Linked DNA regions of Ovis aries. The protein of the gene in region 3 purifies or fractionates together with the protein of the main gene of each other region. This does not show direct contact. Links are inferred from orthologs where the notes say so. Each region holds a gene or a part of one and is shown on either strand. Other genes may lie near its edges. The genes, in order: CTNNA1, CTNND1 and CDH2.

Region 1 (4,378 bases), on a different chromosome or scaffold from region 3:
AAAATTGCAACCCACTCCAGTATTCTTGCCTGGAAAATCCCATGGATGGAGAAGGAGCCTGGCGGGCTACAGCCCATAGGGTTGCAGAGTCGGACGTGACTGAGTGACTTCACTTTCACTTTTTTAGGATCCTCAGTGAAACGGTTACCAGGGCCAGACAGGTAGGATGGGGCACAGGTGGGGAAAGGGGAGGCAAGCAGGAAGGTAGGAAGTGTTCCCAGACTGTGTAGCACCAGCAGTCCCCTGACATCCTGGGTCCAGTGACCCCAGTCAGATGACTGTACTTTTATGCACCATGTTCAGCAGAAGACAGAATTTCACTAGGGCTGTATTTTGAAAGGCAAATAAGGGGAGTAAAAGGGTGCAAAATAGATTGTACTGATGAAACAGAAGCTGGAATAGGAGTGAGACAAGGACCCAAGAGGCTGAGGGAGGGTTGCAAGTGGGGAGGACCAACCGGCTGAATATCCTGATGGACTCAAAGCATTGTTGGAAGTCACAGAACCAAAGGGAGCAGCTGACGGAAGGGATGATGGGGATGCTGGTTATGACAAGGACCAGGCAAAAGAGGCTAACTACAAGGCATCAAGAAACCAAGAGGCCCTGGGTTGGAAGGATGGTTCCTGAATTAAATCAAGACAAAAAGGAGGAACTAAACCAAGGCTGCTGCAGACCTACCCGTCCTTGCTCCCTGAGCCCTCCCAGGTGACCACACCCAGGTTCCATCTCACCACACCTGCCAGGGCCTCTTGTACTTACGATCCCACACAGCAGTAAGCACACAAGAAACAGCTACTACATGCCAGGCCCTGACCTGACCTCCAGTTCATCCCATCAAGCTACCAACACCATCATCTGCATCTTAGAGAGATGCGGGAACTTGCTGAGAGTCTCAGATGTGAGGAGGAACCCTGCTTCCACAGAACAGGCCCTGGATGTGCAGGTATCCTGGGGTGTGTGCAGTGCCAGCTCATTTAAAACCCCAAAGGCATTAACCTCAGACACTCAGCAACTCATGATTATTAATGTTTCTTCTATTCTCTGTCCGCATGCAAAGAACTTTGGAAAAACAGGGCTGCGTTTTGCCATCACTGGTGCGCTTGACCCAGGGACCCCTTCGCACCTCTGGGGGCCAGGCCTCCCTGAGCATGGGCTGCTCTCCAGCACAGCAGCAGGGGTGAACAAAGCAACAGGCTCCCCCAGATCCCCTCCCAACCCCCAGTATGTGCAGGTGACCCGGGCCTGCAGGAACACCCAGCAGCCAGCCATACAGTCCTTGAGCCATTCTTGTTGCTCCTTACCCCTGAGAGAAGTGCAGTAATGCCCAAATGTTGCTACGTTGCATACAGAATGTATCCAGCCTGATGCAACTACCTTAGAAATGGCTTCTGTTTCCAGCTGAGGGGGTAAAAAGGGGGACAGAACCCCGTCCGCCTTGGGCGGTCGGACTAGCAAACCATGAAGGTGTAACGGAAGCTTCCCGACAAGACTAGACTGTCAGCAGAGGCCAGCAGCCGTCTACTCAGCAGGCCTGCCTTCCAAATGCTGGCTCTGTGGCTACGGCAGGGCTGGCCCGAGCCTGGGGGTGACTCCGGGAGAGCTTGGCACAGGTCCTGCTCTCCACTTCCAGAGCAACACATTCATGTTCAAAACAGCGTGTGAGGCATCAACTGCTATGTGAGTCCCAGCCTAAGACACGGGATGATCACGGAGGAGGTGGTTTCTCAAAACCCTACTGTTCATGCCCAGGGGACCCCAGACACTGCCTCAGACGCTGAGAACTGCCTCTGGCTCAGAGAGGACGGGTCAAACGGGGCCCAGAGCAGGTGGCACTTCCCTTCAGCCACGGTGAGAGGGCTCGACACTTGGCCCTAGAGATCAGGAGCATCACCAAGGGCTGCACAGCCCCTCATCCTTCCCCTCAATACCCTTGGGCTCTAGTACCCTGCCTGCCTGCCACCCCTCTGAGGTGAGGAGTGCTCCATGTAAAGAACAGTTTCAACCTGAATAAAGGAAATATTCCCTTCTCTGAAATTCACTGAGGAGCCTTTATTTTCTATCACTGCCCTTTAACTCAAGAGGAAGCCTCAATTCATACTAGGTCCCCTTTTCTCAGCCCAAGTTTGGGCTCTAACTTGCAACTAAAAGTCATTTTAAACAATGTAATTAAACATATCTCTTCCTAACAGCCCTTAGATTCATGGTTTTAATATATTGCCAACACATCTGTTGAGTTCCAGAATGATGCATTGCTCAAGTTTAGCAAATGATAAGAAGGAAGCTGTTAAAACATCTGAAATGCAGTTACTCACCCTTATCATCAACACCGCTTTCCTGATGTCCCGGATGCCATCGTACACCAGGCGGGAGGCATCAATAAACTCGTTTTCATCCATGGGCTGGGCAGGGTCTGAGCTGAGGGCTTCCACAGCCGCTTCCACTTGCTCAGTAAAACGTGGCATGACTGCGGAGAAGAGAGATGATAACATCACCACCAGCCCTCCTAAATCCCTCAGTCAGATGCAGAGAGGCAGAGTGTATGATGAAGAGCCTCTGCTTCTACCTATGTGAGAGGTATTTATAGTTCAAATAAATTAAATGCCATATTTTACAAAGACTTGAATCCTCTTCTTTGTCTCTGGCCAGATTCTGGAACACAGGATTTAGATGGCTGAGAATTTGAATTGGGATTAACTAGAGGCCTTACTAGAATGGGACTCTCCTTAATTTAGTGTGTTCACTAACTAGAGATATAACTCAGAAGTTCAGAGTTCAGAACGACTCCCATTACTACCTGTGGGACACAAGTAAGGGAAACGTGTTTGTGTGGTCTTACTGTGGCTGACCAATGACTCATAAATCCGATGTACCTTCCAGAACTCTTGTCCGAAAACCAAACTGAGCCCCAGTGTCCTACTTCCTAACCAGAGGGCCATCTGTGTGTGAGGAGCACAGGTGAGGGAGGGGTCCCGCACCTGTGTTGGAGAGCAGCTTGGTTGCTTCCAGCACCTTCTCTGTGTAGACTCCTGGTTCATAGTTGTCCATCTCTGAGGTGACAACATGAATGACCCGGGCAGCCCGGCCTCGAATTGCACCAGCTGTGCGGTCTAGCCCATCCACATCTTTCTCTTGGAGAGCAATGACACATTTGTTCACGTCTTCCAAAATGTGATTCTCTGAGGAACAAACAAAAACAGCTGAATGAGGGAGGAGGCCTCCCACCAGAAGTGGACGATTTTAAGCTGGCATCTGTCACTCATCCAGTGCTCACTGCGTGCCAGCTACAGTGCCAAAAGCTTTGCACATCATTCACTCAAGAGACCAGACTACCCAGGGATCAACTGCCTGGAAACTGGACCTGCAATCACCCCAAGAATAACCATCTTTATTCCAGGTTTAGAAGAGACAGGCAGAGACGCCCATCTTTCAGAATCCTTGATAATTTCTTTCCCTTAAACAATTTCATTGATTTTATATCCCAAAGTCTAAATTAGAAGACAAGGTTCACTATTCCCAGTCCCTTGCCCCTCGCTCCAGGAGATGCCAGTGGTATTCAGACAAACGACCAAGACATCAGGACAACTCTGGAACATGAGAAGAGCCTGGAAGGCAGGCAAAAGCCTCGTGGAGTTGGATTTGGAAGATCTACCAGAACTGTTTTTCCTCAAAGACAAAGCTTGACCCTGGGTATTGGGAACCCCAGAATGAGGAGTTCACGTTAACCTCATCTATAATAGCAAAGTAGGAGCAACCAAAATGTCCCAGAACAGAGTAATAAATTATGGGCACTGGGCAGCCACTGAAATGGATGAAGATCTGCAGGGGCTGACCCAGAATGGGAAAGGGAATGTTCTCACCACCAGGAACTGTGCAGTCCACCAGCAGAAAGCCCTCATGATAGGGCTCACAACGCATGGGGCCGGTGGGTGAGCAACACAGTCTCCAGGTCATTGTCTGGCTATTTTCTTCCTGCTCAGAAAGCAGCTTTCCTTAAGACACACAAGAAATCTGAGAAGCAGTGTCTGTTAAAGACATGCTCCCTTCCTTAAACCAAGACAGTTCATGCACTGGTTTTTCTGGAAGAGTCAGGACAATTAGAGCAAATGTAATCTGTTTAAGAAACACATCTGGGGACTCCCCTGGTGGCTCAGTGGTAAAGAATCTGCCTGCCAATGCAGAAGACACAGGATCAGCCCCTGATCTGGAGGACCCCACATGCCACGGAGCAACTAGGCCCATGTGCCTCAGCTACTGAAGGCTGAGAGCCCACACGCTGCAACAGAAGCCCCCCGCTTTCTGCAACTAGAGAAAAGCAGGTGCAGCAATGAAGACCCAGCAGAGCCATACATAAATAAAATTATAACTAATAAAGACCGAG
Region 2 (5,074 bases), on a different chromosome or scaffold from region 3:
CAAACCCGAGTCAGAAAATTCTCTGGAAGAAATTTCACTGACAATCAAATAAAGTTTGAGGCATTTCCAGTAGGTTTAAGAATTACAGGGCAGTAATGATGTGCACATGGAAAGATCCCTATAATAAAGGTTGAGATAATATCCCTTCTAACGTATCTAGCTCCTTGCAGCTTTCTGGAAAATTGATTTTTCACGTGCACTGCCACTCTCCCTCGGAGCATGCAGGAACTCCAAGCAAGCACTGACCTTCCTCGGATGAAGCACTCCTGCCTCTTGCAAGGGCTCAGTTTAGTTCCGGCTCTTGTTTCTGTCCTCTCTGGAGAACAGTGTTTTAGCGGTTAAATCCACTAACTTTATATAGTCAGAACAGGGTTTAATCCCTGGTCACTTACAAGCACTGAAATTTTTAGCAAACCTCAGCTTCTCTGAGGCTCAAATTCCTTAAAAAACAAAACATAAACCAGAAAACAGACAGAAAGTTACTGTAGGAAATTAATAGTTCATGCAAAATGGTTAGCACTCACTGAGAAAACAAGGTCGAGGGTGGGAGAGGCAGGGCCGGCTCTCAGTGGCAGGGGCGCCAGGAGGCGAGGGGTTATGCCGAGCCAATCATGTTGTTACTCCAACTGAAGAATGATCTATGCTTAATTTATTTGCATCCATCCTCTCACTCATCTCTAGAGATCATCTACCTCATAAACCCAAGGCTGAAATTGCAATTACTCAGAGCTTCTTTTTGAGATTTCCAACAGTCCCCATTTTTATCCTAGCTGAAAGAACGCGTTCTAACACCTTTGGCTCTCCAAAAGTGAACCCTAAGAAAGGAATTAAGACTCTAAAAACCCAAAGGAGGCCCCCACCTGGAACACAGACCATACCTTAGTCTTATAACAAAGAAACCAACAGCACAGAGGAGTCAAACAAGGACAGGAAAATCCGCAGAACTCATGCTTACTTGTCATTTTCTACCCCCAAACCAAAGTGAGGAGCAAAACAACAAGTAAAAGATTTGCTTATTCACACTCTTCCTGTATGTCCTGGAAGAACCAGCAGAGGTGAGGTAAAAGACGGGTCTTCCATCTTATCATCCAAAAGGCCAATAGCACACACCAGTCACAACAATGCCGCAGTTCCTGGAGACAGTCCTGGACGCTTTGCAGCGAGGATGCTCACTGCAGCCATACAAAGCCCAGTGTGTAAAGCTGGACCCAAACCACCACCACTCAGTCACCCAGAGCCCATTTTCAAACTGCCTTTGTACTCGCTCAGACTCCCTCATCCCTCCCCCTAAAGGCTGAGTGGGAAACTGACACTCTGGCAGCAACATGACCAATCCTCCAAAGATCCACCAAGAAACCCCCCTAGGCTGCAGTCAAGGCTGAAGGGAGCATTCGAAAATTTGGAAACGATGTAAGTACAGCCCACAAAATATACACATTGTCCTTTCTCTTTCTTTTTAACTGCACTTGCTATAATTAGATGATCCAGACATTAAAATCTTACTGTAGCCCTTGCATAAATTAGATTAAAAGAAGGGACAAAGTTCAGTTTCCTCTGAAGCTACAACCTCACAAGAATGAAATCATCTTTCAAGAAATAGTCTTGTCCTGGAAAAGAAATTCAAGGAAGTGTTCTAGTCTGAAAAGAATTAAGGGGTGGGGTGGGGTGGGGGGTTCAGAATCAGAGGATTATTATAGATACATGCCAGTTTAAATCTAATAGCAGCTTACGTATTAAGGACCATCCTGCCACAATGAGAGCAGTGTCTATTGCAGTTATAATTTTGCAGATGATTCGAATTTTCAAACGGAGAAGGAAGGGAACGTCCAGTTTTCAGCTACCGAGGAGCCGGCTATATGCTCGTCTAGTATTTTTGCAGGAATGTATGCGCAAAACAAAAACAGATCTTAAGATTAAACATGAGATATGAAAGCACAGCCATGGGCCTTCAGATCTTAAAAGATTTCTGGTTTCACAGCAAGTTAACCAAATCAAAAATGCACCTCCAAAAAGCAACTTTCAGATTGGTTTAAAAATAAGAATTCCCCCTGTTCTTTCCCAAACACACCCTAAACACTAGGGTCTGTATTAAGTGTTTTAGCCTGACCTTTTTTAAATCCCAGCCTCTTTCAGAGAGCACAAAGCTGGAAATGTCTCTTGTGTGCGACTTTACTCAGGTGAGCTAAAGCGCATGGCTAGAGGTTCCTTATCCCTTTAAGCACGAAAACCAGACATTATTGTATATGCAGACTGAACATACAACACCTCCACAAATCTTTGCCATCAAAGGTAGTTTTAGAAGGAAGGGGGTGGCAATCCAGTTACCAAGGGTCTATTTGTTTTCTTTTACAAGGCAAAGCAGAGAGGCTAAGTCTAGAAGGCGAAAGAGGCTCCCACCCACCACACCTGAAAAAGTAAAAGAGGGATCCACCCAGGAACAGCAGGGCTGAAACCGATCTGAGCCGTTCAAACTCTCCAGGGGAAAAATATCACTATTTAAGCTGCAAAGCTCCCTGCAACTTTCCACTTTCACAAATTCAATGATAAAAGGCAGAAAAAAAAAGTTTTGAAACATATGAAGAACCATCTGTATGCTTCCGACCCGGACAAATTCCTTTCCCAACCCACACACAAAATGCCAAAAAAAAACAACTTTTGGTTTGGGCTCTGAAAACAGAAGTTTGTTAGCCCAGCCTAGAAAAAAAACACATACAATCAAAGACCACACCAAAATGTAAATTTATGCAACAGCTCTCACCCCTCTGAATCTATTCATCTGCCTATATTAGACCTAGAAGTTTGTTTCTGGGTCTTGAATATCTCCCTTTGCTTTAAATACGATAAAATACCAAAATTCCCCCAAATAAGTAGAAAGAAAAATTAATAATTGTTTAAAAGTTACCCGTCAGCATAACAGACCCTCTCGTCTTCAAATTCCCTCGGTTACCATAAGACAAAAATTCAACTTGGCTTATCCTGCTTTACCCGTCTATACACATATTTTTTAAAAAGGCACACACCTCAAATGTGGACTTCTGAAAACCACTTCTTTAAGAGAGAAAACCAAGGCTCCGTCAACGTGCTGAGAAAGACAAATCCAGCAAGGTAGTTGCTTTTTCGCCACCTCTTCCTCCTTTCAGGATCTTTCCGGCTCTTCTTTCTCTCTCTCCCCCTTTTTTTTCTCTCAGATCCAACACCTAAAATGGAAGTTGCACCCAGCCAAAGGCTAGGGAGCCTGGGTGGTGACAAACTGATCTGGCAGCCCTACCCCCTCGCTTTCCTAAGTGATGTCAGCCCCTGAGAACTTCCAATAGGAGCTAGGCATAAATCAGGGAGCTGATTTTATCCAATAGGAAACTTTATTATAGGAAACAGGGGAAAAAAGCAAGAGGAGGAGAAAAAGAGACAGGGGGAAGTTTTATATATATATTTATATTTAAAGTGGAGACTATATAATCTCTAAGGGATTACTGCAGAGCTGGGAGGGGTCGGGGAAGGGGGCTGAAGGAACAAGGGCTTTCTAGAACGGCATGCCTAAGAACCACGGTTCTCTTTGATGGTGGAGTTCTTGCTCCCTCCTTCCTCTCTGGGTAGGGAAGAAAAAAAGCTGATTTTATTTGCCTGCTGTTATTTGGTTTGTTGCTTTCTACCCCAAACCATTTTCCCACAGGAAGATAAGAAGGGAAGGAGCAAGCAACACTAGAAAGAGGGCTACAGTGTGTTGACTGGGATGGTAGGGGATATCTGAGGTAAATCCTCAATTTTATCTTCGTTTAAATGCATTTGAGTTAATTAGAAAAACAAATACTTCGACTTAACATTTTTAGCATCTATACTTTCAACTGGGCTTCCCCTGTGGCTCAGCTGGTAAGGAATCCGGGAGACCTGGGTTTGATCCCTGGGTTGGGAAGATCCCCTGAAGAAGGGAACGGCTACCTACTCCAGTATTCTGGCCTGGAGAATTCCATGGACTGTATCCATGGGGTCTCAAAGAGCTGGACACAGCTGAGCTACTTTCACACACATACATAATTTCAACTAGAAGGAAGCTGAATCCACTAGGCTGTTGAAGAAAATCAGTCTTCTCATTTGCCCCAAATCAAAATAACGTGGGCTTGAGGGGCATCGTAAATGATATCCTATAAACAAGTGATATATTTGGAGACAACAGCACATGTAAGGAAAAGAAACTCTCACATCAAGAAAGTTCAATTCATTTGTGAAGTTCGGGCTTAAGAAGGTCTAGTTCGTGCATTCTCTTTATGCTTGACCTAAATAAAGGATTATAACAGGCATTCTTTTTCTCTTAAGAGTTATCTTTAATATGTTCTTAGACTATTAGGCCATGAAGGGCAGAGATTGAAAATTTTTTTATGCTTACAAAGACTATTTCATTAACTATATGAAAATGATAATGATAAACTGAAAATTTCCTCTTTCTTTCTTACTGAAAACTCTAAAAATCTGAAGACTGCTACCAAATGAATCTTCATAAAGGTTTCATAATTTAAAATAGTGGTTAAGAGCATAGGTTCTGCAGTAAGGCTGACTGGCTGCACCCGTTTCTGCTAAGTATACCTAAGCAAGTAAATGGGCATACTGCGTGGCCCTCCAGGGGGCGCAGTGGTGAAGAATCTGCCTGCCAGTGCAAGAGACTCAGGAGAATGGGTTCGATCCCTGGGCTGAGGAAAATCCCCTGGAGAAGGAAATGGCAGCCCACTCCAGTATTCTTGCCTGGAGAATCCCATGGACAGAGGAGCCTGGTGGGCTACAGTCCACGGGATCGCAAAGAATCGGACACGACTGAGCGAGCAGCACACACATGCTACACACTGCAACCCTGGAAAAGTTATAGAATTTCTCTGTGACTCAGTCTCTTAACTATAAGTGGAGATAATAACTATATCTCTCTCATAGGACTGTTAAAAGAATTAAAATACACATAAAGTTCTTAAAAGAATACATGGCATACAGTGTAAACTCAGTAAGTTATGATTATCAATATCTACCCTGGCAAAAAATTTTCAATAGCTCACCATTGCCCCAAAATAGCAACCAATGAGGACCCATTCAT
Region 3 (4,378 bases):
TAAGATTCATGACTCTATCAAATCTTGCCTAGAAGGATGTTTTCAAACTTACAGGACAAATGCAGGAAATCGACTCATGAAATGTCTTTACATTTCCTGATCATTCAGAGTCATTTATTTACGGGAAGGCTTTATGGAAATGCATGCACATATGCATAGTAAATATACCTGTAATGATTAACTCTTGGTAATTTTTATGAAATGATAATTCTGATAAAATTGGAAATAATAGAGGAAAAAGGACCAATGAACGATTTTAAAAAACCAAAAGCCTTCCCCAGGCAAAAAAGCACAACGTTTATTTATCCTTAGAATATATGTATAAGCCTTGTGTTTTAGTTAAGATATGTTTAACATGCTTTGATATTTTTTTTCCTGTATTTTAAAATACCGACGAACTCGACTCTAAAATGTGACTCAGACAGAGCCACAGATGGTTGAACTTCCTGCACAGCCCCGTCTTCCCACCCCAGCTGCCCCCACCCCTCTACTCTTATGAGATACAGACAAGCGTATCTGAACCAGGAAAAGTGCCAGTTTAAGACACAGTTATATCTATAAATTGGCTTAAGTACAAACCAGTATAGACGGTGAAGGAAATATAGAGCATTAAGTTTAAATGTCGAGGCTTTCTTAAATTCAAAATTAAATTTAAAAAATTAAATATAATGAATTAAGTCTTGCCTAAAAGCAGCATGAATGAAAGAAAATGACACTAAAGGCTCACATGATTTCTCATTTAGCTTATATACGAGTGCTGGATAACACTGTATTTCCTCAAGGAACCTCCAAATTATGATCTTCCAACTTACCCGGCTTTGATCCCTCAGGAACTGTCCCATTCCAAACCTGGTGTAAGAACTCAGGTCTGTTATCATTCATGTCAATAACGTTAATGACAATGTCGATGGGGTTCTCCACTTGGTTTCCATTAATATCCACTGCATGTGCCCTCAACTGCAAGAGTGATTAGAAAATGAAATGATTTAATGGATTTAGGTCTCCTGTGAGAAGATAAAAGATACCATAACCATAGCCATAAACAGCACAGATGGATGAAAACCAAAAGCTATTCTTCCCATCAAAATTCAAGTTAGCCAAACTATATTATTAAGGGAGATACAGCTGATAGGCATCTGGCTCAGAGCTCTATGACTCTAATCTGTATACAAAAGAGTGAAGCAGAAACGATCCACCTTTGACGGCAAAGAAATCAAGCTTCAGAAAAGCTAAGTAACTTTACTCAGTTCATTGACAGAGCCCCTGTCCTAAGCCAGTTCTGTCCAGCTTCCAAATCCTTTCGCTAAATCCATACAAAAGAGTCAGGGTAATTAAAAATGTGGAACTGGCCTAAAGGAGTCATAGAGAACAAGAGAAAAGATGAAAATTCGGAAAGAATGAAGTGTGCACATGGAATTTTGACTCTTTTTATTGTAAAAGTCATTCACTCATAAACAGTAAAAGTACATAAGACAGTTTGTTCCTCTCCCAAGGTTGAGTTCTCAGTATTACAGGTCTTCTAGAAATTTTATCTTTTCTCTTCCTTTTTAAACAAATGTAATCAGTCAGTTACTCTTGGCAAAATATCTTCAAAATCTTTTCATCCAGCACATAGAAAACCATTTCAACCTTTTCAAAGGCTGTGTAGTGTTCCACTGAATTGTTTCTTTTTAAAGGCGATGCTTCTATGATTTTCCTGTTAAGGATGATGCTGGCTACTGGTTTCTGCTGGATATACTTTATCAACTTAAAGAAGAATTAACATATCGTTTTTTTTCAATTTTGAGGTTATTTAGCACATGAAACTGTAAGTTTTATTAGACAAGCCTTTTCAACACATATAGAGTCTCTTTTTCCCTTGACTTATTTAATATATTACATTAAGAGATTTTAATACTGAACTGTCCCTGCCATTCTATAATTAATTCTATTTTGTTATCAATATTGCTCATTTATGTGCAAGTAGTGAGAATCTGGAGAGCAAGAATTTACCCCAACACTGGCCTGAAAATATTTTTTGAGATTTAACCACATGATTTCAGCCAGTAAGAATTGATACAGAAGAAATATTTGAATTTTTGGATTGGTATTTTTTGTACTCATAAATTACAGGACAGCCTAATTAGAGACTGGTCTACTGGATGCTACTTTACTCCATCCGTGTGTGTGCTCAGTCATGTCCTACTCTGTGCAACCCCATGGAGTGTAGCCCTCCAGGCTCCTCTGTCCATGGAATTTGCCAGCCAAAAATACTGGAGTGGGTAGCTATTTCCTATGCCAGGGGATCGTCCCAACCCAGGGATCAAATTCGCGCCTTTTGAATCTCCTGCATTGGCAGGTGGATTCTTCACCACTGCGTCACCTGGGAAGCCCTGCTGCCTTTTCTGGTTTCCCTATTACGATGCTGTTTTGTAAAAGGCTTGAAAACTTCTTTATATTTTAGAACAATGTATTAATAAAAAGCATTAGAATTACGTGCTCATAAGGCTTTTAAGAGCATTGGTTGGTAAAACAATCAAGGCCCTTGGGAGGAGAGAATTGAATGATACTTAGGATTTAAAATGCATTTTTAGTTTTTCATATGCTTATTTGCCAGTTTATGTCTAGGATGTCTTATTCTACCATATATCTACATGTATTTACATAGCAAATTTCAAAAGTTAAATAATTTAAAAATTTGTACAAGTGCAAAAATTCAAAAAATATATTAATGAGAAAAATAGTCTAAAAAACACATTAGCATAAGTGGCATAAAAAGTATGGGACAACTAAGTACGATCATGACATTGATGCTAAATCAATCGGAATCCTAAATCAATGTATAGTGTTGAGACAACTGGGCTGGCCATAAAGGAAAAGCAAAGTCGATCTATGTACCTTTCTTTTTTTACTAAAATAAACTCCACAGAGGTTAAACATTTAGATGCAAATATAAATAAATAAATAAATAAAACAGATAAAATGCAGGAGATTAGCATCTTGGAGTAGGAAAGATCTTTTTAAACAATCCCAGAAAGCCAGAATGGGGGCCTTCCCTGGTGGCTCAATGGTAAAGAATTCACCTGCCAATTCAAGAGATACTGGTTTGATCTCTGGTCTGTAAACTAAGATCCCACATGCTGCAGAGCAGCTAAAGCACACGTGCCACAACTATTTAGCTTGTGCTCTAGAGCCTGGGAGCCACAACTACTGAAGCTCTTGCACCCTAGAGACCGTGCTCTGCAAGAAAGGAAGCCACTGCAATGAGAAGGCTGAGTGCCACAGCTAGAGAGTAGGCTCGCCACAACCAGAGAAAAGCCCGCGCAGCAACAAAGGCCCAGCACAGCCAACAGTTCATACATAAGAAAGAAAGCCAGAATGCACGATCAACTCAAAAGAAGGACAAATGTCATAACGTTAAACCTGTAAGTTACAGTGAGGGAAAAATTATACACAAAGTTTGAAAACAAATAACAACAAAGGAAATATATGAAAATCATGCATCAACATCTCTAGTAGATAAAAGGTTATTATAAGTGGGTGGAGGAAGGGGTAACAACTTTCCCACCCCAAATTCAGCATAAGACAGGAATAGGGAATTTACTTTAATTGGATATTCAACGTATGCAACTTCAAGCATCAAGATAAATTTTTTAGAAATAGCACTGGCAATAAATAAATAATGCCCGGAATTGATAATGGAATGGAAAGTATCTGTTTTATAGTGGGGAGGAACTGGAACACAATACAACTCTTCAAGAGAACAATTTCACTATATTTATCAAATAATTCCAATTTTAGGAATTTTTTCTGAGGACATAATGGGAAAATGTACAGAAAGCTATTCATTGCTGCATGATTTATAGTTGTAAAATAAAGTAGAAAGAACTAAATCATCCAAGTATCTGCCAGTAGGTAATAGTTACAATTATATTAGAGCAAGCAATCAAAAATAGTAATAGAAACAAATAATGATTCCAGATGTGGAAAGATGCTAAATCTTATGATTGCTAAGTGACAAAAGTTGGTTTCAGAGAATAATCCCAATTTCAAAAAAAATATATTTGTGAATCTATGCACAAAGAAACATCTTACAGAATATTACCAAACTTAAAGACAAGTGACTAGTTTATGTACTGGGATTGCAAATTCTTCTTATTTTATTACTAATACTGTATTATTTGAAAAGTTTTTACATTGTACCTATATTCTTTTCTAAGAGAAAATGATACTTTCATTAAAAGTTTTACTAGAAATTGGAGTAGGAATAAAGATCAATTTAGGTTTCTCTATTAAACACATGAAAAAAAATTGTTGAAATCCTATTACAGAAAAATGGGCAAGCATGGTTAGAAAAAAAAGGAAAGAAAAATGCTTTCTGGAATTTATACTTTAGTAT

The links.
Region 1: the proteins of CDH2 (region 3) and CTNNA1 purify together in Homo sapiens (affinity purification with mass spectrometry; 4 studies listed by BioGRID and IntAct, with this or other methods). This does not show direct contact. The link is inferred for Ovis aries from reciprocal best matches to the Homo sapiens genes CDH2 and CTNNA1.
Region 2: the proteins of CDH2 (region 3) and CTNND1 purify together in Homo sapiens (affinity purification with western blotting; 6 studies listed by BioGRID and IntAct, with this or other methods). This does not show direct contact. The link is inferred for Ovis aries from reciprocal best matches to the Homo sapiens genes CDH2 and CTNND1.

Annotation. Positions count from the first base shown.
Region 1 is NC_056058.1:47,904,284-47,908,661, reverse strand, and holds part of CTNNA1 (catenin alpha-1), read right to left. Parts: intron 3,177-4,378; coding exon 2,976-3,176; intron 2,465-2,975; coding exon 2,313-2,464; intron 1-2,312. UniProt on the Homo sapiens protein: Associates with the cytoplasmic domain of a variety of cadherins. The association of catenins to cadherins produces a complex which is linked to the actin filament network, and which seems to be of primary importance for cadherins cell-adhesion properties.
Region 2 is NC_056068.1:79,777,958-79,783,031, reverse strand, and holds the start of CTNND1 (catenin delta-1), read right to left. Parts: upstream 3,245-5,074; 5' UTR 3,021-3,244; intron 1-3,020. UniProt on the Homo sapiens protein: Key regulator of cell-cell adhesion that associates with and regulates the cell adhesion properties of both C-, E- and N-cadherins, being critical for their surface stability.
Region 3 is NC_056076.1:29,193,802-29,198,179, reverse strand, and holds part of CDH2 (cadherin-2), read right to left. Parts: intron 958-4,378; coding exon 813-957; intron 1-812. UniProt on the Homo sapiens protein: Calcium-dependent cell adhesion protein; preferentially mediates homotypic cell-cell adhesion by dimerization with a CDH2 chain from another cell. Cadherins may thus contribute to the sorting of heterogeneous cell types.